Linked DNA regions of Macaca mulatta. The protein of the gene in region 4 interacts with the protein of the main gene of each other region in a pairwise test. Links are inferred from orthologs where the notes say so. Each region holds a gene or a part of one and is shown on either strand. Other genes may lie near its edges.

Region 1 (5,059 bases), on a different chromosome or scaffold from region 4:
AAAATACAAAAAAATCAGCGAGCGTGGTGGTGTGTGCCTGTAGTCCCAGCTACTCGGGAGGCTGAGGCAGAAGAATTGCTTGAACTCGGGAGGCGGAGGTTGCAGTGAGCCAAGATAGCACCACTGCACTCCAGCCTGGCGACAGAGTGAGACTGCGTCTCAAAAAAAAAAAAAAAGCTCAATTCACCTAATGCCCAAGTTCTGATTCTACGTCCAACCAGAGACCATTATAAATATGTATTCTGCTGTCTCCTTTTCCCATCAGTTTTAGTTAGTATAAATCAATCTCTCAGGGCTGATCTCCCCTAGGAATGAGCAAGAATAAGTCTTTAGACCTTCAAAGCAACAATGTCAATCTAGCCAGCCTTTCCTAAAGGACTGCTATAAATGCCATCTTCCCACTGTACCACAACATTCCCACTAGGCTCTTAAAACCCTCCTAAGTTTACTAAGAAGATTAAATGGAATAACATATGTACGGACACAAGTGCAGAATGAAACAGGCACTTAAAAAATGTCAGTTCCCCTCTCCACCTTATCTCTTCTCCTCCAACCACCTGTAACTGCCTCTCACAGTTTGGTTTAACTGAGAAATGATAAAAAGGAAAATCTGTCTTCTTTGCATCTATTAATAATTTTAGAGAGTTTAGGCAAAACCTTATCTAGAATGCAAACTTTTGGTAAAGTATCAATCTGTATAAAACAGCAATCAAATTTATGTAGGTTTAAACAAAGATTTTGACTGCAGTTTTTCCTCCAATAATCTTTAATAATGAACTTGAATTACTTCCATGAAACACAGATCTCTATATTGGTTAAATATGATGCCAGAGAGATCTCCAAAGATTAGTACAGAAACTATGAACTATCATCAGAGTGTAATAAATTACATACTAGTGTTATCTCATAACAATATAATTCAGCACTCTATGACCCTAAGAAAAACAGGAAAGAAACAAACTCCTCAAATTATAAGCAAAACTTTCGCATTTTTTAAACCTTTGCATTCTTAAGCAAACCACATTATCTTACATATGCTTTAATCTCACATAGAAATTTTCTGTCTTTTGAACATTATCTTTCAGATTTTTTTCTTACACGAATTTCACAGAGTTTCACTCCAAAAGTTAAATAATGTTTATATTACCTAGTTTCTCTTTGCAAATAAAAGATTCTGGTAGCAGCTGCAATCTTTTCACACTTCTAATCTCATTGTTGATTTTCAGTGTAGCTGTAAATAAACAAAAGAAAGATGATAAAAAATTCTGTCACTTCATCAACTGCCTTTCTTTTTTAGTATGGGCTTGCATTTCCTTGCTCCTAATATACTAAGGACACATTATATAAAACAAACTGTTCTTCGCCTATTTCTTTCTCTGACAGCAAGTTCAAAAGTGTAAACCTGGCATCACATGAAGTAAAATCACTCTACAACACCACCTTTAAAAACTACAGTAAGCATCTTTATATAAAATCTACTAGGCAGCAGCTTATTAGTAATTGAAAGATACGCAACAAGGCTAATCAGAGGCAACTAAACACAATAAAATCATTATTTCTAATGAAGTCAGTAAAAACTCCATTTATCTTTTATTTAACCCTTGGCAATGAGTCTTCCCTTGTTCATTAAAATAATCTTGCTAGTTTTCAGAGCATCATCTCTCTTCCAGACCCAAAGGACCAATATTCTTGACATCACCAGAGGGTTCAATTTTAATCATGTATACAAAGGTGCACTTCAACTCATTCCATGAAAGAGCCCAGTGATGTGCTTATGCACATGTGCACAAAGCAGGATGCCTGGAGTGAAGGAAAGATTTAAAGACACACTGCTCTTTTCAAATAATCAATCCTGGAATGGCTGGCTGCCATGCAAGTCTGCCAAGAGCTGATTTGCCAAGAACAGTAAAGAAACAAAGTATGAGAAATTAAGAAATCATCAAGACATTCAGTAGTTATTCTTTTTATATTAAGTATTCTGAATCTAATGAATAGAGGTTATTATACATGTCATTAAGTGCTTTTATAAGAAATCAAGGCAAAATTTGCAACTACACATTTACTATTTGGTAACTTCAACCTTGCAAGTTATGATGTGATGTAGCAGAATGATGAGATGAAGGCAGAAACTGTTGACACTCTGTGTACAAGAATGCCAGACTAAAAGCTACATCTGCTAATTATGATGAACTGCTGAATAGACATTGCTAGGTCCTAGTGTCATCAGACAGTCATGTCCTGACAAACGTGAAGTACCACCAAAGCTATTAAAACCTAACGTTTTGAGACTTTTAAATAACATTTCAAAGAATCTTATGACTAAAGAAATAGAAATTTCTTAAGAGGCCAGGCGTGGTTCACACCTGTAATCCCAGCCCTTTGGGAGGTCAAGGCAGGAATACTGCTTGAACCCAGGAGTTCGAGACCAGGCTGGGCAACACAGTGAGACTTCATCTCTACAGAATATAAATAAAAAATAGCCAGGTGTGGTGGTACACGCCTGTGGTCCTAGCTACTCAGGAGGCCAAGGAGGAACACCGCTTGAGCCCAGGAGGTCAAGGATGCAATGATCCATGCTCTGGCTACTGCACTCCAGCCTAGGTGACAGAGCAAGACCTTGTCTCAAAAAAAAAAAAAAAAGAAAAAGAAAAAGAAACTTCGTAAGAGGGGAATGAGAACTATCCAACATCTCAAAGATCAAGACAGCATAAGTCAGTAGCTTTCAAAATAGATTTTAGCAGGAAAAAAAAACAACCACCATTTTTTTCAAACAGAATCTCACACAAAACTTCAATAAATGAAACAGATAAACATTTCGCTGCTTTTAAGTGGTGATAAGGCTTCTACCTAACTTTCATCTAGGCAAAGGAGCAGCTGCAGAACATACTGAAAACCTGACCTAAACCTTTGACCTAAGGCTTATCAAAGCAACTTCCTTTGCTAAACAAAAAAGATGAGCTATACTGAATAAACAAAACAACAAATGCAGCCCTCCCAATCTTGCCACACTATCTTTCTAACTAAAAGGATAAACCTCAAAAAACAAAACAGAATAAAAATGAAAGCTCCTAGTCATTCAAATGGATCTCCAGGATGTGTGATTATGATAGACTACTAGGAGTTGATATGAACCAAAGTGGTATCTGAACTAAAACACAAAGATGGAATGCCTTGCTATTCCAGTGAAATTTATTAATATGAAAAAGGAGACAGGAAAAGTTATTTATGCAGAGTGACATTTGTTGGGGGAGGCCCAGTAAATAAAACACACACTTACTAAGGCCTCAGTAAACTTAGCATTGTTGTTGTGCACTGCTGGCCACAGAGATGCGAACTTGGATAAATGGTGACCCCAGCTCTAGTTCCCCATGTCTCAGTTCAAGACCTTCGTTAAAAAAATAAAGCCATCCACAGGGATAAAGAAAAAGTATTCTCCAAAGAGTTCATGTATAATAGGCTCATTTCACTCATATTATCAAATATTGATAATATTGGATAATATTAAATATTACCCCCCAGAGCAAAATATTACAAAGATTAAGACATCAAGAAAATGGATGCCCTAAGAGTGAAGGGTGCTGGCCTAAACAACCCAACAACCTCTTACTCTATAATCTTCCAGACACATGTTATCAGTGGTCTAGGAATTCAATAAAGTTGAGAAGGACTCACAACTGTATCATGATAGCCAATCACTGAAGTGGCTATAAAACATTTGGAAAGAAACGTCTAAGAATCCATAAACGAGCAACCATGACTATGCTATTCAATTACCATTTACAACAATCAGGTTTCCCAGAGGCACACAGGTGAGAGTAGCGGAGCTGCCCTCGCAGAGAGGATGCATGTACTGCAGCTTATACACCCCGCTCAACTTCCACTTCTCCGGCATGGACAGTGCTTTGGCTTCGGTGCCCTGGGGAACGAAATGAAAGGGAAACAAATAATGAAGAAAGGTGTTACTCTCAAAAAGATTAAAAATCCAAAAGACTCCTAACTTGTTTGAAATAATCATTCCACATAGTCCTCTTAATACAATGCATCATTAATATTGCCATTATATTTTATATTGTAGGATAATATATTACAACACTTTTAATCAAAATTTTTGTTCAAACAGGTAAAATTGCAATATGGAAACAGGGATTGATCTCTCTCTTCCAAGACTCACTTCTCTGCCTAGCAAAACCATATGATTATTTAAAACTCCAAAATAACCAAATATCACTTCCTCTGTAAAGCCTTTTTCAAAGAAAAATTGTTTGCCATTTCCTTTCGTCCCCTAACAGTCTATTCATATTTCCGTTACACTTCAACTGTATTATTATCTATGTTTACTTGTGTTATTTCTGATTATCTTTTTATTTGTCTCTCTCCTCTATTTATGTATGGACTCCTTGAGGACAGGAAATATCCCAATGTTTTTATATCCTAATTTCTGGGTCAGTGCATGGCATGCTGCAGGTGTGCACTGATCACCTAATTACTCTATATCTTTTTAACTTATAACATGGCTCTCAGACCAGCAACATTGGTATTATGCAGGAGTATGAAGAAGTACATGGTCCATTCTACAGTTACTAAATCAGAATCTGCATTTTAATAAGGTCCCCAGGTATTCCAAAGCACATTAAAGTTTGAGAAGCAATATTCTAAATGTTCTCCTCCATGAATTCCTGGCATCCTATATATGAATATGTCTCTCCCAGAACTTCACCAATATAGCACAATGCTTTATATTTCTGTCTATCTCTGCCACTCTCAGACTATGGGCAACTTGACAGCAGGAACCATCCACATGTATGAGCAATTATAAGATGTTTGTGTTTTGCTTGCAGTACTTACCTGAGGCATGTAACCTGACTCCAACATGAGAAGATGTATCAACACTATCAAGGCATCATTGGCATCAGAACAGTCAGCTGATTGATACAAGGTCTCTAATGAATGTGGCACTTGCCCTTCCACCGATTCACTACAGAGCATGGGTTCTGAGGGATAGAAACCTGTGCCCTCTGCCATATCCTCAATATCTTGAATTGACTCAGCTTCAAAATTT
Region 2 (3,713 bases), on a different chromosome or scaffold from region 4:
GATGTCTATAGACCGTTTACCTGCGTGTACCCAGCATTACCATGTCTTTCTCTAGATACTTGTACTCACCATTGCCATGTCTTTCTTTAGATGTCCCCTAGAGGACAACAAGAGACCATCACAAAGGTGCACAGGAGGCACTCAAAAGACACTGGCCACAGTGCAAAGCACTGGAAATAATCTGCATGTCCATCCAGTAGAAGGGCTTTAAAAAAAAACCTAGGGATATCCATATTAAAAATTATAGGCTATAATTATAGCCTGTAAATTATAGGCCTGTAATCTCAGCTACTCGGCAGGCTGAGGCAGGAGAATAGCTTGAACCCGAGAGGAGGTTGGAGGTTGCAGTGAGCCGAGATCAGGCCACTGCACTCCATCCTGCACCACAGGGTGAGGCTCCGTCCTGCTCTGTCGCCAGGCTGGAGTGCATTGGTGCGATTTGGGCTTGCTGAAACCTCCACCTCCCCAGTTCAAGAGATTCTCCTGCCTCAGCTTCCTGAGTAGCTGGAATTATAGGCATGCACCACCATGCTCAGCTAATTTTTGTATTTTTAGTAGAGATGGGGTTTCACCATGTTGGCCAGGATGGTCTCGATCTCTTGACCTCGTGATCCGCCCGCCTCGGCCTCTGAAAGTGCTGGGATTGCAGGCATGAGCCAGATTGCAGGCATCTGGACTTAACTTTTTTTTTTTTTTTTTTTTTTTAAAGACTGAGTAAACTAGGAGTAAATAGGCCCTATTTAACCTGATAAAGGGTATCTATCAAAAACCTACAGCAAGCATCATACATGACAGTGAAACCTTGTGTCAGGAACAAGACAGAATCACTACTGCTTCTATTGGCTCCTGTACTAGATCCTGACCAGAGCAGTAAAAGAATCAAAGACAGTTTCTAGGGTACAGAATTGTTCAGCTGCTCCTACGCTGGCAAAGGGGCAGAGAATGAAACAGAAAAGGAAAAACTAGAAGTTGGACAACCAAGAGAGAGGTGAAAGAAGGTGGCCAGAGATGGCTGGTGTTCCAATGTAGCAATGGGGAGCCAGGGCCCCCAGTGCCCCCGGGCTCTGGGAGTCAGAGCAATGGAAAGAACAGACAGGGTAGAGGTGAAAGTGGGGGTAGGGGTGGGGGTGGCTGGGAGCTGACCAGGTGGGTGTCAGAGCTGAGAGGGTTGGGTGTTACCAGGGATAGCAAAGCAATGCTCATCCCAGCTCCTCAGGGTGAGCCACCTCTCCTTCTAGGGAACAGCTTCCTCCACAGCAAAGCCTCCACCTAGAAACAACTACACGCATCAGTACAAAAAGCTTCAGCCTTTATTAAACAAAGGAGGAGGTAGAAGACAGATAAGGGAACAGTTCAGGATCCCTTCTTTCCCCTATACATACACAAACATACAAAACACAGACACACCCCAGTGAATGACAGGGACCATCAGGCAACAGATTGAAGGGCAGAGGGAGGCAGCACCCTCCGAGAGTTGGCCCGGACCCAGGGGTGGGCTGAGACCTGGGCCAGGGGCAGCCGTTCCGAGGGGTTATGCCTGAGCAGTTTAGAGATGAGGTCCTGGGCTCCCGTGGGCACAGAAGCGGGGAACTTTAGGTCCACCTGCAGGTGTGAAGAGATGGAAGGGCTGCATTACTTTCACCCTGGCTACATCTTCCTTGACTACCCATTCTGTCTGGAGTTACTTAGGGCCACGCGGATACACTCTGCCCACCCCCAGCCCCCCAGCCCCTGGCCTCTGGAGCTGGCACGAAGCCCAGGCCGCCCTCCCACCTTGACGATGCGCCGATAGGTCTCGTTGTGTGATGCGCTCTCAAACGGTGGGTTTCCCACCAGCAACTCATAGCAAAGCACTCCAATGCACCACAGATCCACCTTCTCGTTGTGTGTGCGCCCCTCAATCATCTCTGGGGGCAGGTAGTCCAGGGTGCCACACATTGTCTTCCTCCTGGGAGGGATAAGGGGCGTGGGCAGGGGTCCCAGTGACATAGGAACTCTCCTTTCCCTGCTACCTGATGGCAGGGAGCCAAAAGACCACGGGAGGTACCAGGGGAGAGGTCCAGCCAGGCAGGGTTACTGGAGTGGGGGTGGGGTTGGGGTGATGACATATCTGAAAGCCCCAGAGGTAAGCCTGCACACAGCCCCAGCAACTCCACGCTGAAGGATATGTCTTAATGAGATACTCTGCTATGAGGGCAGTGTTCATTTGGAGTTCATTTTGGAGTTCACTGGGGACATCTCTAATGCCCATCAGGCATGTTCTGCTTAAATAAATCAGCTACTATGTGATACTATGAAACCGTTAAAAAATGATGTGGGAGGAAAAAAGGCCACTGCTCCGGGCTTTTTTGAGACAGAGTCCAGGATGGAGTGCAAGGGGGCGATCTTGGCTCACTGCAACCTTTGCCTCCCGGATTCAAGTGATTCTCATGTCTCAGCCTCCCGCACAGCTGGGATTGCAAGTGTGCACCTCCATGTCTGCTTAATACATTTTGTATTTTTAGTAACGATGGGGTTTCGCCATGTTGGCCAGGCTAGTCCGCTAGCCTTGAACTCCTGGCCTCAAGTGATCCACCTGCCTTGGCCTCCCAAAGTGCTGGGATTAGCAGGCGTGAGCCACCGCACCTGGCCAAAGTTTTACCATTGGCTCATACGGGGATCAAACCCATGACCTTGGGGTTCTTAGCACCACATTCTAACCATTTTGTTTGTTTTTTTTGAGAGGAGTCTCACTCTGCCGTCCAGGCTGGAGTGCAATGGCGCAATCTCGGCTCACTGCAACCTCCGCCTCCCAGGTTCAAACAATTCTCCTGCCTCAGCCTCCCGAGTAGCTGGGATTACTGGTGTCCGCCACCATGCCCGGCTAATTTTTGTATATTTAGTAGAGACAAGGTTTCAGCATGTTGGCAAAGCTAGTTTCGAACTCCTGACCTCAGGTGATCTGCCCGCCTCAGCCTCCCAAAGTGCGGGTATTACAGGCGTGAGCCAGCACGCCCAGCCCCTGGAGAGGTTTTAACGGCCCCGCCTCACACCCAGGGCTGGCCTCCCAGGCCACCATACCTCAGGGAGGGCGCATGCACAGACCAGCCAAAGTCAGCAATCTTCAGCTCTCCCTTGAGCCCTAAGAGCAGATTCTCTGGCTTTATGTCTCTGTGAATCACCTTTTTCCCGTGGCAGTACATCAGAGCATCTGCCAACTCCTCCATGATCTGGGAGGGGCAACGACAGGCAATCAGACAAGGATGGACCTCCAGCTACAAGCAGCACACCCTCAGCCTCCAGCCCCCTACTGGCGGCCCAGGTGCCCACCCGCCCGGACCGTGGCTGTTCGCTGCTCGTCAAATGTGCGGCTCTTCTGCAGCTCCTTGTAGAGCTCCCCGCGGGGCGCATACTCTAGAATCAAGTAGATCCTCCTCCGGTCATAAAAATAGTTGTAAAGACGCAGGATGTTGGGATGGCTGAGGGAAGAGACAGAGGAAGCCTCAGGCCAAAGGCATAAAAGAGCTGGGAAAGATAATAGGAGCAAACTGGGGTCAGACGTGGCCCAGGCTGGGGACACCAGGAATGGGAGTGGGAAGGGGAAACTGGAGGCAGATTTCTGGATTCAAGGCTCTGGCCAGGACTAAGGGCTAAATGGGGCTCACTAGCCGTAGCTACAGAGAACGCAATCTGGATGAGGTAGGGCTGAGTGAGGAGCTGGGGTGAGGGAGCAG
Region 3 (5,059 bases), on a different chromosome or scaffold from region 4:
ATCACAGTCAAACTGTGAAAAATTTTTGTATTTAATAATAGAGGTTTGGTTAAATAAATAATGATATATCCATACAGTGAACCATGCATAGGTGATGTGGAGACCTACTAATGATCACGAAAAGATATTTGCTATGTATTTTAAGTAAAAACAAAATATATATGTAAGTTTGTGTGTGCGTGTTTATTTATAGTGCAGACCTGATTTTATGTAGCTAGCCATCTCTATCAAAAAATGTCTTGAAGAAGTATGTCAAAATCTTAAAATTAACAAACATTCTCTTTTCACTTTTAATGTGCTATTGTTTTATTTTTTACCATGAGCATACGTTTTATCATAAAAAAAGTAAATCAATAATAAAGGCATTTTCATCTTGAACAAAACAAAGATATCCCATTTGGGGCAGCAGACACCACCCCAGGACTGTGGCCCCTATGCCAACAGCCTACTCATAGACAGGGTAGGGGTGGCATGAAGAGGTCCTCTGAGGAGCTCACACAGCTCCTGTGTCTGACCACCAGTGTCCCTGCTGTTGGGCACAGTGATTCACGGAAGCCTCACTTTGGGCTTCAGTTTGCAGGGCTGTAGGGATGGGCTTTTCAGCATGGCAGTTTCATTTGATCCTATCTTTAAGACCTTGACCTTTGATGAGTCAATAGGCAGTCCTCCAGGGACAGGCTGGACACTGAGGACGAGCAACAGCAAGGGAGGGGTCCTGGGGTGCAGCTAGACCAGGCTTCTGGGAGCGGGGTGCAAAAAAGAAGGGTAGGGGCGATGATGTTCAATTGTGTTCACTTTTTGATGCTGTCAGGCAATGAAACTGTCTGTATCTTTAATCTTGTCAGGGGACAGGAAAGATCTTTTTAATGATTTTTGAGCGATTTCAAAAGCTAGAGTGAAAAATAAAAGCTAATACCCTTTGTAGATGAAAACACTAAGATTGTTGAAAGTCTGTTAAAATTTTTCAAAGCAACCCTCTGATAGTTATTTTTCCAGAACAACAGAGCTGTTAGGTGCCTTTTAGGATTTGAGCAGCAGTGTGGGGTAAGTCATGGCAACCAGTTCGTGCTTTCAGATGGAGTGTGGTCTCCTCATTGACTTGTATGTCTCCCATCCTGATGACAGAGCAAACCTCACTTCTTCTGGAAAAATCCAGGCCTAGCTTGGGGAAGTGGCTCAGGCAACTAGAGATTCAGTGAATAATTCAAGAGAAAAACGTTTGCAGGAAAAACAAAATTGTTTTTGTTTTAACTACATTTTTTTTCAGGGCTTTTGAACAAATTCCAGCTCTTGTTTTGTGACCACAGCTCCCTGTGATCCAGGAGTTACTAGAAACTCAGTGGGTACTATGAAAAACCTGAAAGTTACAACCATTTTGTTTCACACTGTGTGTGCATATGTGTATCTATTTATGAATATGCTCACCCACTTGACCATCTCTTTTGTAAGGAGGTGAGTGAAACAGCACACAAACAAATCACCCCATGTTTCTGCCTAGGGTAGTGAGCACTGGCTTGATTCAGAAATTAAGTTGGAATCCCAGTTTTGTCTTCAGACTTGCTGTTTGACCTTGAGCAGTTTATCTAACATCTCTAGGCCTTGGTCTCCTCTTATACAAAATAAGAATAACACAGTCTCTTTCATGGCATTGTAGGGCCAAGCAATAATGTCCCTAAGGGGTCTCACCCCGTGCTTTGATGATACTAGTGACCGAAAAGCTGTTAAGATGATTTTGTAAATTACACATAAAATTGTCTTCTCTCCCCATGCACAGACATCCTAGAGGGCAGATGGTCTCCTTCCCCTAGTATCTGCTGCTGCGTGTAGTTCACTGCTTTGGACACAGGGGCATTTATTGCCTGTTTATTGAAGGACTGGTTGATTAGACAATTAAGGAGCAACCCGGCTGAATTCAGTAGATCTGGAACATAAACTCTTCACTCCCAAGGGCCCTGGGACTGAGAAGGTAAAGGTGGTAAGAACTTTTCATTAGTTCAGTGAGGACTCAGTGGGGGAGGTGTAAACCCCGGCTCTGCATATGGGCCAATCAGCCCTACCTACCAAGCAGGAAAATTGTCCCTGGGTGTGTCTGGTCATGAACAAGTAGGAAACACCTAGCCTGCTACCAACATAGTTCTGCTAACAGTAGGGCTTGCACATCTGTTTTCTAAAAAGGAAAGAAAAATTGCATTCCCATTCACAGCAATGCCATGAAGTGGGTACAATAAAGTCTGCAGAGTCAGAAAGGCCTAGGTTCAAATCTTGACTCTGCCACTTTTCAGCAGAGCAACTTTGGGCAAACTGATCTCTTGAAGCCTTCATTGCCCCACTGTAAAATAGAAATAATAGAAGTTCTTCCAGCCTGGAGTTGCCATGAATATTAGCGACAAGGCACCTGATGTAGTGTCTGGAACAAAGGAACCAATAATGGTACCAACTGGCATCAGGATGACAGTCCTATTTACTCTAATTCACTTGTACTTACTACCTTCAGAAATTAGCATGAGATTTTTTTCTAGTAACATTAGAAGGCTACTCCTGCTACTCTGCTGTGGTCTTGACAAGAGTAACCCTCAAGGTAATGCCCCATAAAATGAACTCAGCTCCCATTTGCTGTCCACTGGACTGACTCGCGGGGCTTCCCAGAAGAGTGATTACCTTGGGAATGAAGGCCCCGCTCCATGACTCCGTGCTTGACTTTCATGTGGCGTGTCAGGTTCCCCTTCAGGGTGAATTTGCTTGGGCAATAGAGGCACTTGAAGGGTTTGCTGTCCGAGTGCAGGTGCATGTGGCCCATCAGGTTGTGCATCCGGTTGAACTCCTTCCCACAAAGCTGTCAAAGATGGGAATGAGAACACAGGTTACTCTGCCTGAGTGAAGCCCCATCCAGGCCCCTGGAGCACAGATACCGCTTCTACTTTGTTTGGACCTTGACATTTTAATCTACTTGCAAGGAAAATGTCCATAAGGAAATCAGGAAGGAGCCTCAAAGGTGGAGCAAGTGGGGGTAGATTCATGAGATTTGTTCCTGGAGTTTAGAAACCTTTAAATACAAAGTAAAAATATCAAAGCTTGTAAAACTTCTTTTGAATAAAAGCTTTGGAAAAGGAGAAGAGCTGATCTGAAAAGCAGTGGCTACAAGTGTTCCTCCTTTAATAATAAGAATGTGATTATGTGTTTAATATTTATGCAGCAGTTGCAATATGGAAGGCATTGTTCTAAGTCTACCATGGAATATCTTATTTAATTCTCACACCAATCATATGAGATGGTTGCTGTTACCATCCCCATTTTACAGATGCACAATCTGAGGACTTACGTCACTTGGCCAAGGCACACAAGTAGTGGGTGCTGTAGCTGGGTTAATGAACTCAGGCCATCAGATGCCAGAGGCCACATGGTCAACCACCAGACCACATTGTGTGTCTCCCAGCACAACTCTTCTGTATCAGGCAGAAGAGAATAAAAGAATACACTGTATTATTATATATGATGTATCACACAATGCTTTTTAAATTGCTTTATTTTCTAATTACTGGTATGGATTTCAAAGTTAAAAAAATGACAAATCATCTCAGGAAGGAACGTGTCTTTTCTCTGGGTAGAAATTTGAAGTAGTGAGAGTGTACAAAAAGTAAACATGTTTTACTCTTTCTCATCATTCTATTTCAATCGAACTGCAAATACATGAAGGACAACTGGTTCTCCAACTGCTTTTGGAAGAAGAGCAGAACTTTCTTCTCACAGGTGATTTTGTATAGGCAGAAAGAGGAACCCAGAAGCAGACTGCTTTGGGGGAGCTTTTGTTGTCCCCAAGCCTTACTAGAACAGGAACATTTCAGGCTGTGGTAGGAGGAATGCAAACAGTGATTTTGTGTCTGTGATTGGACAAGAATGTTAAGAGAGAAGAATTCTCCTTCCCTCCCCAACCTCAGAGGCCAGTGGAGCTGGGGCAGCACTACATAGTGAGAGAGGCCACAGAGACCCTCAGGGTGAGGCATCCTCTGAGCTTACACCAGTTTTCCTTCCTAACTGAGATATATTTTTAGGGCCAATGTTGGGGATTCTGGATTAAATTTTTATTGATGAAGGCAACAATTTCATTAGTTGGCTACGGAAGATGAGTGTTGAGCTCGTCTTGAAAGAGTAGATAGACCTCTCCAATGATGATTTGGGGAGTTTAGCCTAGAAGAATGCTGGGTCCATGTATGGACAATGAATGGCTGGCTCTGTATTCTTGAATGATTCATGTTTGAGAATTGTAAGTACTTTCCCCGCTTTTGCTCTCTCTTACTAGCATGAATGAATTTGGCCTACTGGGTGGGGTTCCAAGCTCAGCATCCAGATAGAGCATCTGCATGCCACATTCATTTGAAAATGGTGACCTAAGAGGAGAAAAGGATGACAGAACTGGTCTAATTCCAACTTTTGCAAGAGAAGCAATATGCAGGATAGATGACTCTTTTATTCTCAATTGAGATAATTTAGTAAGATGTATCAATCTGTGGCTCAGTCATGCATATGTGTAAAAGTTCTATTAGAGTTATGCTTATTAGCTTAATTTGCCCACTTCTCCACCATCATGGCTGAAGGCTCTCTTTTTTTTTTTTTTTTTTTTTTTTTCTGAGACAGAGTCTCGCTCTGTTGCCCAGGCTGGAGTGCAGTGGTACCATCTTGGCTCACTGCAGCCTCCACCTCCCAGGTTCAAGAGATTCTCGTGCCTCAGCCTCCCAAGTAGCTGGGACTACAGGTGCCTGGCTAATTTTTGTGTCTTTAGTAGAGATGGGGTTTCTCTGGCCATGTTGGCCAGGCCAGTCCCAAACTCCTGACCTCAAGTGATCCATCTGCCTCAGCCTCCCAAAGTGCTGGGATTACAGGGGTAAGCCACCATGCTAGGCCAAAAAGAAGCTTTGAAGCTAGAGATTCTACATTAAGAATTTCCAGTCATGGGTCATTTTTAGAAAAAGCATACCTTATTTGGATTGTGGGATGGTTCCTGGTTATTTGGAGTGAAGTTGCTGTTACAGTTGCTGAGCATAACCAGTATTTGGTTCATATA
Region 4 (5,545 bases):
GAAATACAGGACTGGGGTTCATGGAAAACATCTGGCCTAGAAAGAGATCTAGAAATGAATAGAGATTTGGGGACATATACTAATTTGTACCAAAGTAACATAACAAAGCCTAATCACCAAAATATAAAATAAAAGGAGACATGTAATACCTGGTTAAATTTTCTTACCTACTATTCTCCACAGCCTTCATAGCATATTCAACTTGAAAAACTCTTCCGTCAGGAGAGAATGTAGAGGCTGACAGGTCATACTTAAGGAGAAAAGGCAACAGTAAGCTTGTATCTTTGGCAGTAATGACCATACAGTTTCTTCCCCTCTAAATGGCTTAAGCATCAGGAACATGTTATATCCCAACAAAGACCTTGCTTTCAAGAGAGGAAAGGGAAATTTGTCAGAGCAGCAACAGTAGCTAAGGTAAAGCTATATACCTTAGATTTCAGCTATTGAAGAGTAATGGATACAAGTCCCAGGTGAAGTCAGAACACTTTTCACACAGACTACAAAACTCATTTTTGAAAAAGATTAATATGGGGCAGTAGAACCACCACTGGAGTTCGAACATTTAAATTTGTAACCATAACTCTGCAATTAACAAACTAAAAGACTTCAAACAAATCATTTGGCATTCACCAAGCACTTAATGAGTATCTATTATGTTAGTCCACTACATGGAATACAAAGGTGATCACTTATTCATTAAGTCCTTCAATTTCAAATCAGACATGAATCTAGGTGCTAGAGATACAGCAGTAAATCAGAAAAGGCACTAAGATGAAAATAAAAGAGTAAAGCAATGGAAGGAACTACTACAGACTACATCATCAGGGAAGGCCTTCTGGGGCAGTAATATTTAGGCTGAGTCAAACCTAAATGACAAGAAGCTAGCCATTTAAGATATGAAGGAAAAGCCTTCTTGGCATTTGGCACAAAGATCTTAGGGTAGAAATAAGGCTAGCACAGTCAAGAAACAGAAGTAACGTCACTGTGTCCCGAGCACTGTAAGCAGCAGAAAGAAGAGTAGACTGTGTTAGTGAGGTAGCTGTGGGTCAAATTATGTTGGGTCTTCCAGGCTGCAATAAGGACTTTGTATTTTATTCTAAATGCAACGAGGAATTTAAGCAGGGGGAGTGGTATGATCTACATTTTAAAAAACATCATTCTGGCTTTATGTGGAAAATGAATTCTAGAGAGAACAACAGAAGCAAAGATAAGGTGTTCCAAAGATAGTGGTACTAGCTTAGACAAGAGAAGAGGTAGAAGGGAATACTTTTTCAGAGTATAGTAAAAAAATAAAAATAATAAAAATAAACTTGCGAGGCCGGGCATGATGGCTCATTCCTGTAATCCCAGCACTTTGGCAGGTCGAGGCAGGCTGATCACGAGGTCAAAAGATCGAGCCCATCCTGGCAAACATGGTGAAACCCCGTCTCTACTAAAAATACAAAAATTAGCTGGGCGTGGTGGTGTGCACCTGTAGTCCCAGCTACTCGGAAGGCTGAGACAGGAGAATTGCTTGAACTGGGAAGCGGAGGTTGCAGTGAGCCAAGATCGTGCCACTGCACTCCAGCCTGGCGACAGAGCAAGACTCCATCTCAAAAAATAAAAAAAAAAAAACTTGCTAAAGCGTTGGTTCTGGAAGTAAAAAAAGGAATTAAAGATGAATCACAGATGTTTTCATATGACCATTCACTGAGCTGAAGACTGTAGTAGATGCAAAATGGCAAGGTAAGGAGAAAACCCAGAGCTCTACTTTGACATGCAGTACAAAATAAACAATCAAGTGGACAGACGTGTCAAGCAGACAAACAATTATTCATATCTGGAGTTCTTGGGAGAAATGAACACAGAAGATAAGCCTTCAACAGTGGTACTTTCTGAGTCTGTTTCCTGATCTGTTTTTTTTTTTTTTTTTTTTTTGATTCGGAGTCTCGCTCTGTCGCCCAGGCTGGAGTGCAGTGGCCGGATCTCAGCTCACTGCAAGCTCCGCCTCCCGGGTTCACGCCATTCTCCTGCCTCAGCCTCCCGAGTAACTGGGACTACAGGCGCCCACCACCTCGCCCGGCTAGTTTTTTGTATTTTTTTAGTAGAGACGGGGTTTCACCGTGTTAGCCAGGATGGTCTCGATCTCCTGACCTCGTGATCCACCCGTCTCGGCCTCCCAAAGTGCTGGGATTACAGGCTTGAGCCACCGCGCCCGGCCTCCTGATCTGTTAAACCCAGATCATTAACCCTACCATTGTTACTAAAATATCCCACATGGTTATATTATCAAGTATTCTTTAAAAGGTTTGTAGAATGAAATACTATTAATTGAAGGTAATAATATAATTGCAAAGTCAGTTTGCTACAAGATTATTGAGCATTTACTTATCTAAGAAAAGTATGGCAGAACTTTAGCATTCATAACCGAATGGATTAAACCATTCCAGACATAAATTGCCTATTATCAAATTTAGAACACCAGTACTTGAACTTAAGGCTGAGCATGAGAATCTTGTTAAGTAGAAATTGAGGAACTGAGAAACTCATTATTCAGTAACTCTAGTGCAAATAACCAATAAATCTTGTAGAAACTGTATTTTCTATATAGAGTACATAAAAGGAGTAAACTGCACATATACATACGTTTAACAAAGGAAAACCAAACAAGTTAACAAGTCCCACTGCAAAATCCTCAACAGTCTATCAAAAGTCTGAAGCTGTTAAGTTCCTAAGTAACCACTTAAACGTTTACGGGATAAATGCCTACAAGTGCTGTTAGGTACTTTGTATAGGAAAAACAAGGACAAAGGAAAAACTGAAGGATTCATCAGATTTAGTTATTCAGATCATTTTTATTAGTTCTGTTCCGACAGGGTTTCCAGTGACTCTTAAACTGAGCGGTCGATGATCTGCACACTTAAAGACAGAGAAGGCCCGTGAATCAGCAGCAACCTGGGAACTGCAAACGCAGTCCACAGAAAGCACGATCTCCAGACCGTGGAATCCCAAATCTCACTGCCTCGGTGGTTCTCAAGAGAACACACTATTTCAAGCCCCACGAGTTTCCACTTTCGGTTTCCCTAAGTGGCTGAAGAAAGTGACTCAGCAATCCAAAGCTGCTCCAAACCTCACCGCGGCGACGCCAAGCCAGCTACACCTGGGCTGAAAAGCTTCAGGAGTCATGGTCACCTGAGACGCAGGCCTAGCATATAGGGGATAAAGACGACCGGTCTCCAAACAGCTGCAAGTGGCCCACCCAGCCGAAGGCGGTCTTAGAGCACCCCAGGTCCGCGAAACCCTTGTGGTCTGTCCCAGTTCCCTTCAACCCCAAGCCTTAGGTTAAACTATCACACCCAGAGACAGCAAACTCACCCCGGTGCCGATGGAGCTCATCGTGCTAAACCCAACTGGACGCGTAAGGATTCCAGGCCTAGAGCGCTTCCCCTACACCACAGGATGCCGCAAACTAGTAACAGACCCGCTCATTGGCTGCATCGCCAACCAATAACCTTTTTCTCTGTGGCTCGTTCCGCGGCTCCGGCCCCCAGGACCAGGAGTATTGTGGGAAAGAAGCGGGACGCTAGAGGCTGGCGGCGCGCATGTTCAGAAGCAATAGAGGCGGGGTTGGGGAAAGCAAAGGCTCCGCCTTTAGTTCACGTACTTTGAGTTTTTGGCGTCGTTTTATCTGAGAAGCTGCTCTATTCCTTTCCTAGGAATTATTATTTATCTTTTTATATTATTATTCCCTCCTCGTCACTGTATTCTGTCTTTAAGCAAAAGGGAGAGATGCTCGTATACTCACAAAGAATAGAAAAAGCAGTAGGGGCGAAGTAACCTGTCTTCCTCCGCGTCCCCATCCTGACCTAGAATCTTGATGGCATCCACCTCACCTTCTTATGCCAGGCTCTCGGGAAGTTTCGCTTCAAGGGTATCGTCTTTGAATTCAGCTTGGAATTTTACACAAGTATTAGTACTCTTTCTATGAGTATAACGCTTTTTGGTAGAGTTAAAGATATGTCTGATTAAAGATATTTATTGAGCGCTAATGTATTCCACGTGTTCAAGAAAAAACTGTAAACAGAACATACCACCGTTTCTAATGGAATTTACATTCAGTAGGAAGAAATAGATAACGATAAATAAGCAAAATAGTAAGAAGGAAGAGTGCTTTAATAGAGAATGGAGGTACTAACTTTAGGCAGTGTGCTCAGGGAATGACTTTCTAAGTGAGTGATATTTAAAATAGGATAACAAAAGAGTGGTTGAGGGAACAGTAAAAAAACTTGGCTTGCGCTAGGAACTGTCACGTCAGAGTGACCCCTCATTAAGTGGGGAAGAGTGACGGGAAGAGAACAAGTGCACATGACAGCAAATCTTGAAGTGGTTTGAATTTTAATCCGATTGTAAATAGGGCATCAGCCTTTTTTTACTCCTAAATATTAATACGTCAGTGTGTATTTCCCCCCCAACACAGGAGCATTATTTTACATAGACACAGTATTATTGTGAAAATTAGAAAACTAGCAATACTGTGATCTATCAACTTTCTTTTTTGGGGGCGGTAATTTTCCCTATAAAGTCCTTCATAGCTAAAGAAAATCCAAGATCACACCTTGCATTCAGTTGTCTGCTTTAGTCTGGAAAATAGCTGCTTAGTATTTCTTCAGGTTTTTTTGTTTGTTTGTTTTTGAGACGGAGTTTCGCTCTGTCGCCCAGGCTGGAGTGCAGTGGCGCGATCTCCCGCTCACTGCAAGCTCCGCCTCCCGGGTTCACGCCATTCTCCTCCCTCGGCTTCCCGAGTAGCTGGGACTACAGGCGCCCGCCACCACGCCCAGTTAATTTTTTGTATTTTTTAGTAGAGACGGGGTTTCACCGTGTTAGCCAGGATGGTCTCGATCTGCTGACCTTGTGACCCGCCCGCCTTGGCCTCCCAAAGTGCTGGGATTACAGGCGTGAGCCACTGCGCCCAGCAGTATTTCTTCAGTTATCATGACATGAAGATTTTCGAAGAATACAAACCATTTATTTTGTAGAATATTCCTTAATTTAGGTTTGATTTTTTTGTTGTTATTTGATTAAAGTGATGCATTTGTGGCAGGAATACTACAGAAATGACCTTGTATTCATTCATGTCAGAGCATTGTATTAGGGACATGATGTTAGTTGTTTTATTGCTGATAATGTTAACTTTGATCACTGGCTGAAGATTTATCCCTGATAATGTTTCTACTTTTACCTTTGTAATTAGTATCTTGTGAGGAAATACTTTGAGAATATGTACACGTCCTGTTTACGCCTCAACATTTCACTCATTAATTCTAATATCTGATGATTCTTGTTTGAATTTATTATTACAATGGTTGCCAAATGGTGATTTTCTAATTCCGTCATTCCTTTCACATTTATTACTGGTTTTCTACTGTGAGGTTATCAGGAGTTTTTAAAGCAGGAGAATTATATGATTTGATTTAAATCATTAAATGAGCTCTTATTTCTGTGTGAAGAATGATAGCTAAGGGAAAGAAGAGAAACAGGGATACTAGTTGGAAAGTTATTGCACTTT
Region 5 (5,059 bases), on a different chromosome or scaffold from region 4:
TTTTTTTTTTTTTTGAGATGGAGTCTTGCTCTGTTGCCCAGGCAGGAGTTCAATGGCACGATCTCGGCTCACTGCAACCTCCGCCTCCCACGTTCAAGTGATTCTTCTGCCTCAGCCTCCTGAGTAGCTGGGATTACAGGTGTGCGCCACCACACCCGGCTAATTTTTGTATTTTTAGTAGAGACATGGTTTCATTATGTTAGTCAGGCTGGTCTCAATCTCCTGACCCCGTGATCTGCCTGCCTTGGCGTGCTAAAGTGCTGGGATTACAGGCATGAGCCACTGTGCCCAGCCTTGAAATTATTTTCTGTTTTACCCTTAACCCTCTTTATGTTAACCTCTGTGAAATAAAAAGTAGAATATTGGGGCTTACGTCATAGTTGCTCCTGGATCGGCAGTCATTTGATTGGTGACAAAAACAGCCACATTATATTCTGTATCAAGAGATAAAATTTTAAAACTATGAGAAAGGCTATATATATATATATATATTTATTTATTTATTATTTATTTATTTATTTTTGGAGACGGAGTTTCACTCTTGTTGCCTAGGCTGTAGTGCAATGGCGTGATCTCGGCTCACCACAACCTCCGCCTCCTGGGTTCAAGTGATTCTCCTGCTTCAGCCTCCCGAGTAGCTGGGATTAGAGGCATGCGCCACCACACCAGGCTAATTTTATATTTTTTAGTAGAGACGGGGTTTCTCCATGTTGGTCAGGCTGGTCTCGAACTCCCGAACTCCCGACCTCAAGTGATCCGCTCGCCTCGGCCTCCCAAAGTGCTGGGATTACAGGCGCGAGCCAAGAGAGGCAATATAGATATTTAAAAGTTCATCGTTTAGATTTTAGAGTTTAGGAATATTGCATCATGAATTTATTTTATAAATAACATCATATTCCTATTTTTCATTGACAACAAAAATTATTTGTTATTATTATTATTAAGGTTAGAATAAATATTTTTGGGCCGGGCACGGTGGCTCAAGCCTGTAATCCCAGCACTTTGGGAGGCCGAGACGGGCGGATCACGAGGTCAGGAGATTGAGACCATCCTGGCTAACACGGTGAAACCCCGTCTCTACTAAAAAAATACAAAAAACTAGCCGGGCGAGGTGACGGGCGCCTGTAGTCCCAGCTACTTGGGAGGCTGAGGCAGGAGAATGGCGTAAACCCGGGAGGCGGAGCTTGCAGTGAGCTGAGATCCGGCCACTGTACTCCAGCCCCGGCAACAAAAAAAAATAAATAAATAAATAAAAATAAATAATAAATATTTTTGGTTTAAAAAAACAGTTGTAAAGCTGGGTGCAGTGGCTCATGCCTGTAATCTCAGCACTTTGGAGGCTGAGGTGGGCAGATCATGAGGTCAGGAATTTGAGACCAGCCTGGCCAACGTGGTGAAACCCCATCTCTACTAAAAATACAAAAAATTGGCCAGACATGATGGCAGGTGCCTATAATCCCAACTACTCAGGAGGCTAAGGAGTAAGAATCGCTTGAACCTGGGAGGCGGAGGTTGCAGTGAGCCGAGATCGTGCCACTGCACTCCAGCCTGGGCAACAGTGCGAGACACTGCCTCAAAAAGAAAAAAAAAAAAAAAAAAAAGAGTTGTATTCTCATGAAGGTAATTTTATTAAAAAAAAAAAAAAAAAAAAAACCACTGCCTCCTGACATTATATTCCAAGCTTCTCTGCAAAGTATACTTGACAAACATAGTCACAGATGCCATTTTATTTTAAAGATATACCTTCTGAGATTTTTTGGAGTCGTGACAACATCTGGGCCAATTTTTGCTGCCGTTCGGCCAACTCTCCACGGCCACTGAAATCCACTCGAAAAAGTGCCATTATTGAATCGATAATCTACACAGGATTAAGGTAAAAATAAACATGCATTTGGAAATTGAAGGAAAACGTTATTTGAATAGAGATCAATAGAATAAAAATATTATGCTAAATAGCTCTGTGAAAGCAGTATTTAAAAGCTTGTACCAATAGTTTGAAGATGCCAGCTTCTTCATGGAACTTTGCTGCTACATAATCAAGTAGCTCCATCTGATGTTCACCTGGTGGGAAATGCAGTGAGAAAATGTTATAAAAGTTGAAAGAAGCAGAGGCTAAGATCATTCATATTCTTGGGAGCCAGGCAAAAGAAAGTCCTTGAAGAATTCTCTTATTTATTACTTTATTAAATATTATCGCAGCCTGGCATGGTGGCTCATGCCTGTAATCCCAACACTTTGGGAGGCCGAGGCGGGTGGATTTCTTGAGGTCAGGAGTTCAAGACCAGCCTGGCCAACATGGTGAAACCTTGACTCTACTAAAAAAATACGAAAATTAGGCCAGGCGCGGTGGCTCATACCTGTAATCCCAGCACTTTGGGAAGCCGAGGCAGGCGGATCATTAGGTCAGGAGTTCAAGACCAGCCTGGCAACATGGTGAAACCCTGTCTCTACTAAAAAAAGAAAAATACAAAAATTAGCTGGGCACGGTGGTGGGCGCCAGTGATCCCAGCTACTCGGGAGGCTGAGGCAGGAGAATCGCTTGAACCTGGGAGGCTGAGGCTGCAGTGAGCAGTGATTGCACCACTATGCTCCAGCCTGGGCGACAGAGCAAGACTCTATCTCGTTTAAAAAATATATATAATGGCCGGGTGCGGTGGCTCAAGCCTGTAATCCCAGCACTTTGGGAGGCCGAGTCAGGCAGATCACGAGGTCAGGAGATTGAGACCATCCTGGCTGACACGGTGAAACCCCGTCTCTACTAAAAAATAGAAAAAACTAGCCGGGCGAGGTGGCGGGCGCCTGTAGTCCCAGCTACTCGGGAGGCTGAGGCAGGAGAATGGCGTAAACCCGGGAGGCGGAGCTTGCAGTGAGCTGAGATCCGGCCACTGCACTCCAGCCTGGGCGACAGAGCGAGACTCCGTCTCAAAAAAAAAAATAAATAAATAAAATATATATATATATATAAAAAATATACAAAAATTAGCTGGGTGTGGTGGCACGTGCCTGTAATCCCAGCGACTTGGGAGGTTAAGGTAGGAGAATCGCTTGAAGCCGGGAAGTGGAGGTTGCAGTGAGCCGAGACTGCACCACTGCACTTCAGCCTGAGTGACAGAGTGAGACTCCATCTCAAAAAAAAAAAAAATTATTGCATATTCTGCCTTAGCATATATACCAAATGCTACATTATCCAAAAAGAATGTTACTCTTCATTTCAAAGACTAAGAATAATAAATAATTTAAGGGCACTTTATTATCTAAGGACCTACCAGATGATAAAATTTATAGACTGAGTAAATTAATTTAGAGAAAATTAAAATAGAAAAAAAGTATCAAAATGTTATATCACTCAAGTAGTAAATCAGTGCTGCCAACCTTACATTGACCCAAGCATCCAACTGCATGGGGCTCTTACTAGTATATGCACGTGCATAAAGTACGTTGTCCAGTACTGCATCATGGTCTACATTGAAGCGATCAGCAATGTCCCGAAGGCGATCTGGACGGCTGGAGTATGCCAAGATTAAGGATCCAATAAATCAATTATAAAAAAGCTTAGACAACCACTACAAAACATAGTATCTTACATAAATTAACAGAGAAGCCAAACAATGTACCTGTGAAGGTATTCTAGAGGATGCTAGCAACCATTTAAAGTCTATACAAGATTTGTTTTTTCATAAGTGCCTCAACTTACCATAGGTAGTGATAATGGTCATAGAAATGTGGGGCAGTAATGAATTTAACTATTAAATGATCAAATCTTTACAATAACCTTGGAAGCTAGTTTTTATGGCCTATTTTACATTTTACAACATAGGACACTGGGAAACAGAGATTAGGCAAATGACTTGAGCTTATGCAGCAAATCGGTTACAAGAGAAAAACTGGAAACTAAGCTTTGTGAGTCTTTTTGTTCTCAGATCTACAATAGATAATAGACCTATAACAGATAATATCACTGAATTATAATTCAGTAACTGCAAAGTAGATTAATTCACTCTCTTCAAAACCCTCATTTGCTCAATATGAAATAGTTTACTATATCATTAATCACGTGTTATTAAATGATAAATGTGACTACATGAACCAAAGGGTCAAAAAGGTAACTTCAAGGGTCCAGAAGAGAAATATAGACCAAAGGTTTTTTTGTTTGCACAGGTTTTCTTTTTCTTTTCAAATCTTACTTGGAAAGTATACAGAGTTTAAAATGTACTTTCTTCTAAAGGAATTGTTAGCTTTTTTTTTTTTTTTGAGATGAAGTCTCACTCCGTTGCCCAGGCTGGAGTGCAGTAGCATGATGTCGGCTCACGGTAACCTCTGCCTCCTGGGTTCAAGCAATTCTCCTCCTTCAGTCTCCTGAGTAGCTGTGATTACAGGCGTAAGCCATCATATCTAGCTAATTTTTGTATTTTTAGTGGAGACGGGGTTTTGCCATGTTGGCCAGGCTGGTTTCGAACTCCTGACCTCAAGCGATCTGCCTGCCTCGGCCTTCCAAAGTGCTAGGATTACAGGCATGAGCCACCATGCCTAGCCAGGAGTTGTTAGCTTTCTGAAATTAGCAAATTCATAGGGAAGCAAACTAAGTGCACCTGCAAAGGTATTTTGGAAGAAGCTAATAATCACTTCTATCTATAAACTATAAAGGAGTAATAAACATTTTTTTTTAGGTCTTTGGTGATCCCAACAATATGTCTGAAGTAAAATGAGGTAAAATTAAATGCATGTTTGTGCCCTTATTTCACTTTGTTTATAGAGTTTACATAACACTGATCCTAGTATAAGTAACTGTAAATCAAGGACTATTTATAATCTTATTTGTGATGTTTGCAATTAATTTAATAACTGTTTAGTTGAATTGTCGTTAGGATTTCCCAGTCATTTATAGCCTAATGCACTAGATATGTTCTTGTTGTTAGAGCTTTGGTAACGGCCACAAAAATCTTCCATTGCTATTGAGCATACCCAGTAGATGTTTTTGGTGGACAAGTTAAAGACAGGGAATTGGAAGAGTCAATAAAAACATTTTCATCATGTCAGCTTCTACAAATCCCAGACACTA

What was found.
Region 1: the proteins of PSMA3 (region 4) and FBXO7 interact in binary tests that used the Homo sapiens proteins (3 or more experiments, as listed by UniProt). The two-hybrid records come from large-scale screens. The link is inferred for Macaca mulatta from reciprocal best matches to the Homo sapiens genes PSMA3 and FBXO7.
Region 2: the proteins of PSMA3 (region 4) and AURKB interact in a two-hybrid assay, tested with the Homo sapiens proteins (2 studies listed by BioGRID and IntAct). The link is inferred for Macaca mulatta from reciprocal best matches to the Homo sapiens genes PSMA3 and AURKB.
Region 3: the proteins of PSMA3 (region 4) and ZNF366 interact in binary tests that used the Homo sapiens proteins (3 or more experiments, as listed by UniProt). The link is inferred for Macaca mulatta from reciprocal best matches to the Homo sapiens genes PSMA3 and ZNF366.
Region 5: the proteins of PSMA3 (region 4) and DMC1 interact in binary tests that used the Homo sapiens proteins (3 or more experiments, as listed by UniProt). The two-hybrid records come from large-scale screens. The link is inferred for Macaca mulatta from reciprocal best matches to the Homo sapiens genes PSMA3 and DMC1.

The regions. Positions count from the first base shown.
Region 1 is NC_133415.1:19,016,063-19,021,121, forward strand, and holds part of FBXO7 (F-box only protein 7), read right to left. Parts: coding exon 4,846-5,059; intron 3,917-4,845; coding exon 3,775-3,916; intron 1,232-3,774; coding exon 1,148-1,231; intron 1-1,147. UniProt on the Homo sapiens protein: Substrate recognition component of a SCF (SKP1-CUL1-F-box protein) E3 ubiquitin-protein ligase complex which mediates the ubiquitination and subsequent proteasomal degradation of target proteins and plays a role in several biological processes such as cell cycle, cell proliferation, or maintenance of chromosome stability.
Region 2 is NC_133421.1:9,715,089-9,718,801, forward strand, and holds the end of AURKB (aurora kinase B), read right to left. Parts: intron 3,505-3,713; coding exon of another isoform or gene 3,459-3,504; coding exon 3,320-3,458; coding exon of another isoform or gene 3,310-3,319; intron 3,210-3,309; coding exon 3,061-3,209; intron 1,949-3,060; coding exon 1,774-1,948; intron 1,603-1,773; coding exon 1,429-1,602; 3' UTR 1,295-1,428; downstream 1-1,294. UniProt on the Homo sapiens protein: Serine/threonine-protein kinase component of the chromosomal passenger complex (CPC), a complex that acts as a key regulator of mitosis.
Region 3 is NC_133411.1:78,788,548-78,793,606, forward strand, and holds part of ZNF366 (zinc finger protein 366), read right to left. Parts: intron 2,834-5,059; coding exon 2,659-2,833; intron 1-2,658. UniProt on the Homo sapiens protein: Has transcriptional repression activity. Acts as a corepressor of ESR1; the function seems to involve CTBP1 and histone deacetylases.
Region 4 is NC_133412.1:131,366,935-131,372,479, reverse strand, and holds the start of PSMA3 (proteasome subunit alpha type-3), read right to left. Parts: upstream 3,429-5,545; 5' UTR 3,376-3,428; coding exon 3,355-3,375; intron 251-3,354; coding exon 168-250; intron 1-167. UniProt on the Homo sapiens protein: Component of the 20S core proteasome complex involved in the proteolytic degradation of most intracellular proteins. This complex plays numerous essential roles within the cell by associating with different regulatory particles.
Region 5 is NC_133415.1:12,993,141-12,998,199, reverse strand, and holds part of DMC1 (meiotic recombination protein DMC1/LIM15 homolog), read right to left. Parts: intron 3,505-5,059; coding exon 3,413-3,504; intron 2,062-3,412; coding exon 1,988-2,061; intron 1,859-1,987; coding exon 1,744-1,858; intron 435-1,743; coding exon 374-434; intron 1-373. UniProt on the Homo sapiens protein: Participates in meiotic recombination, specifically in homologous strand assimilation, which is required for the resolution of meiotic double-strand breaks.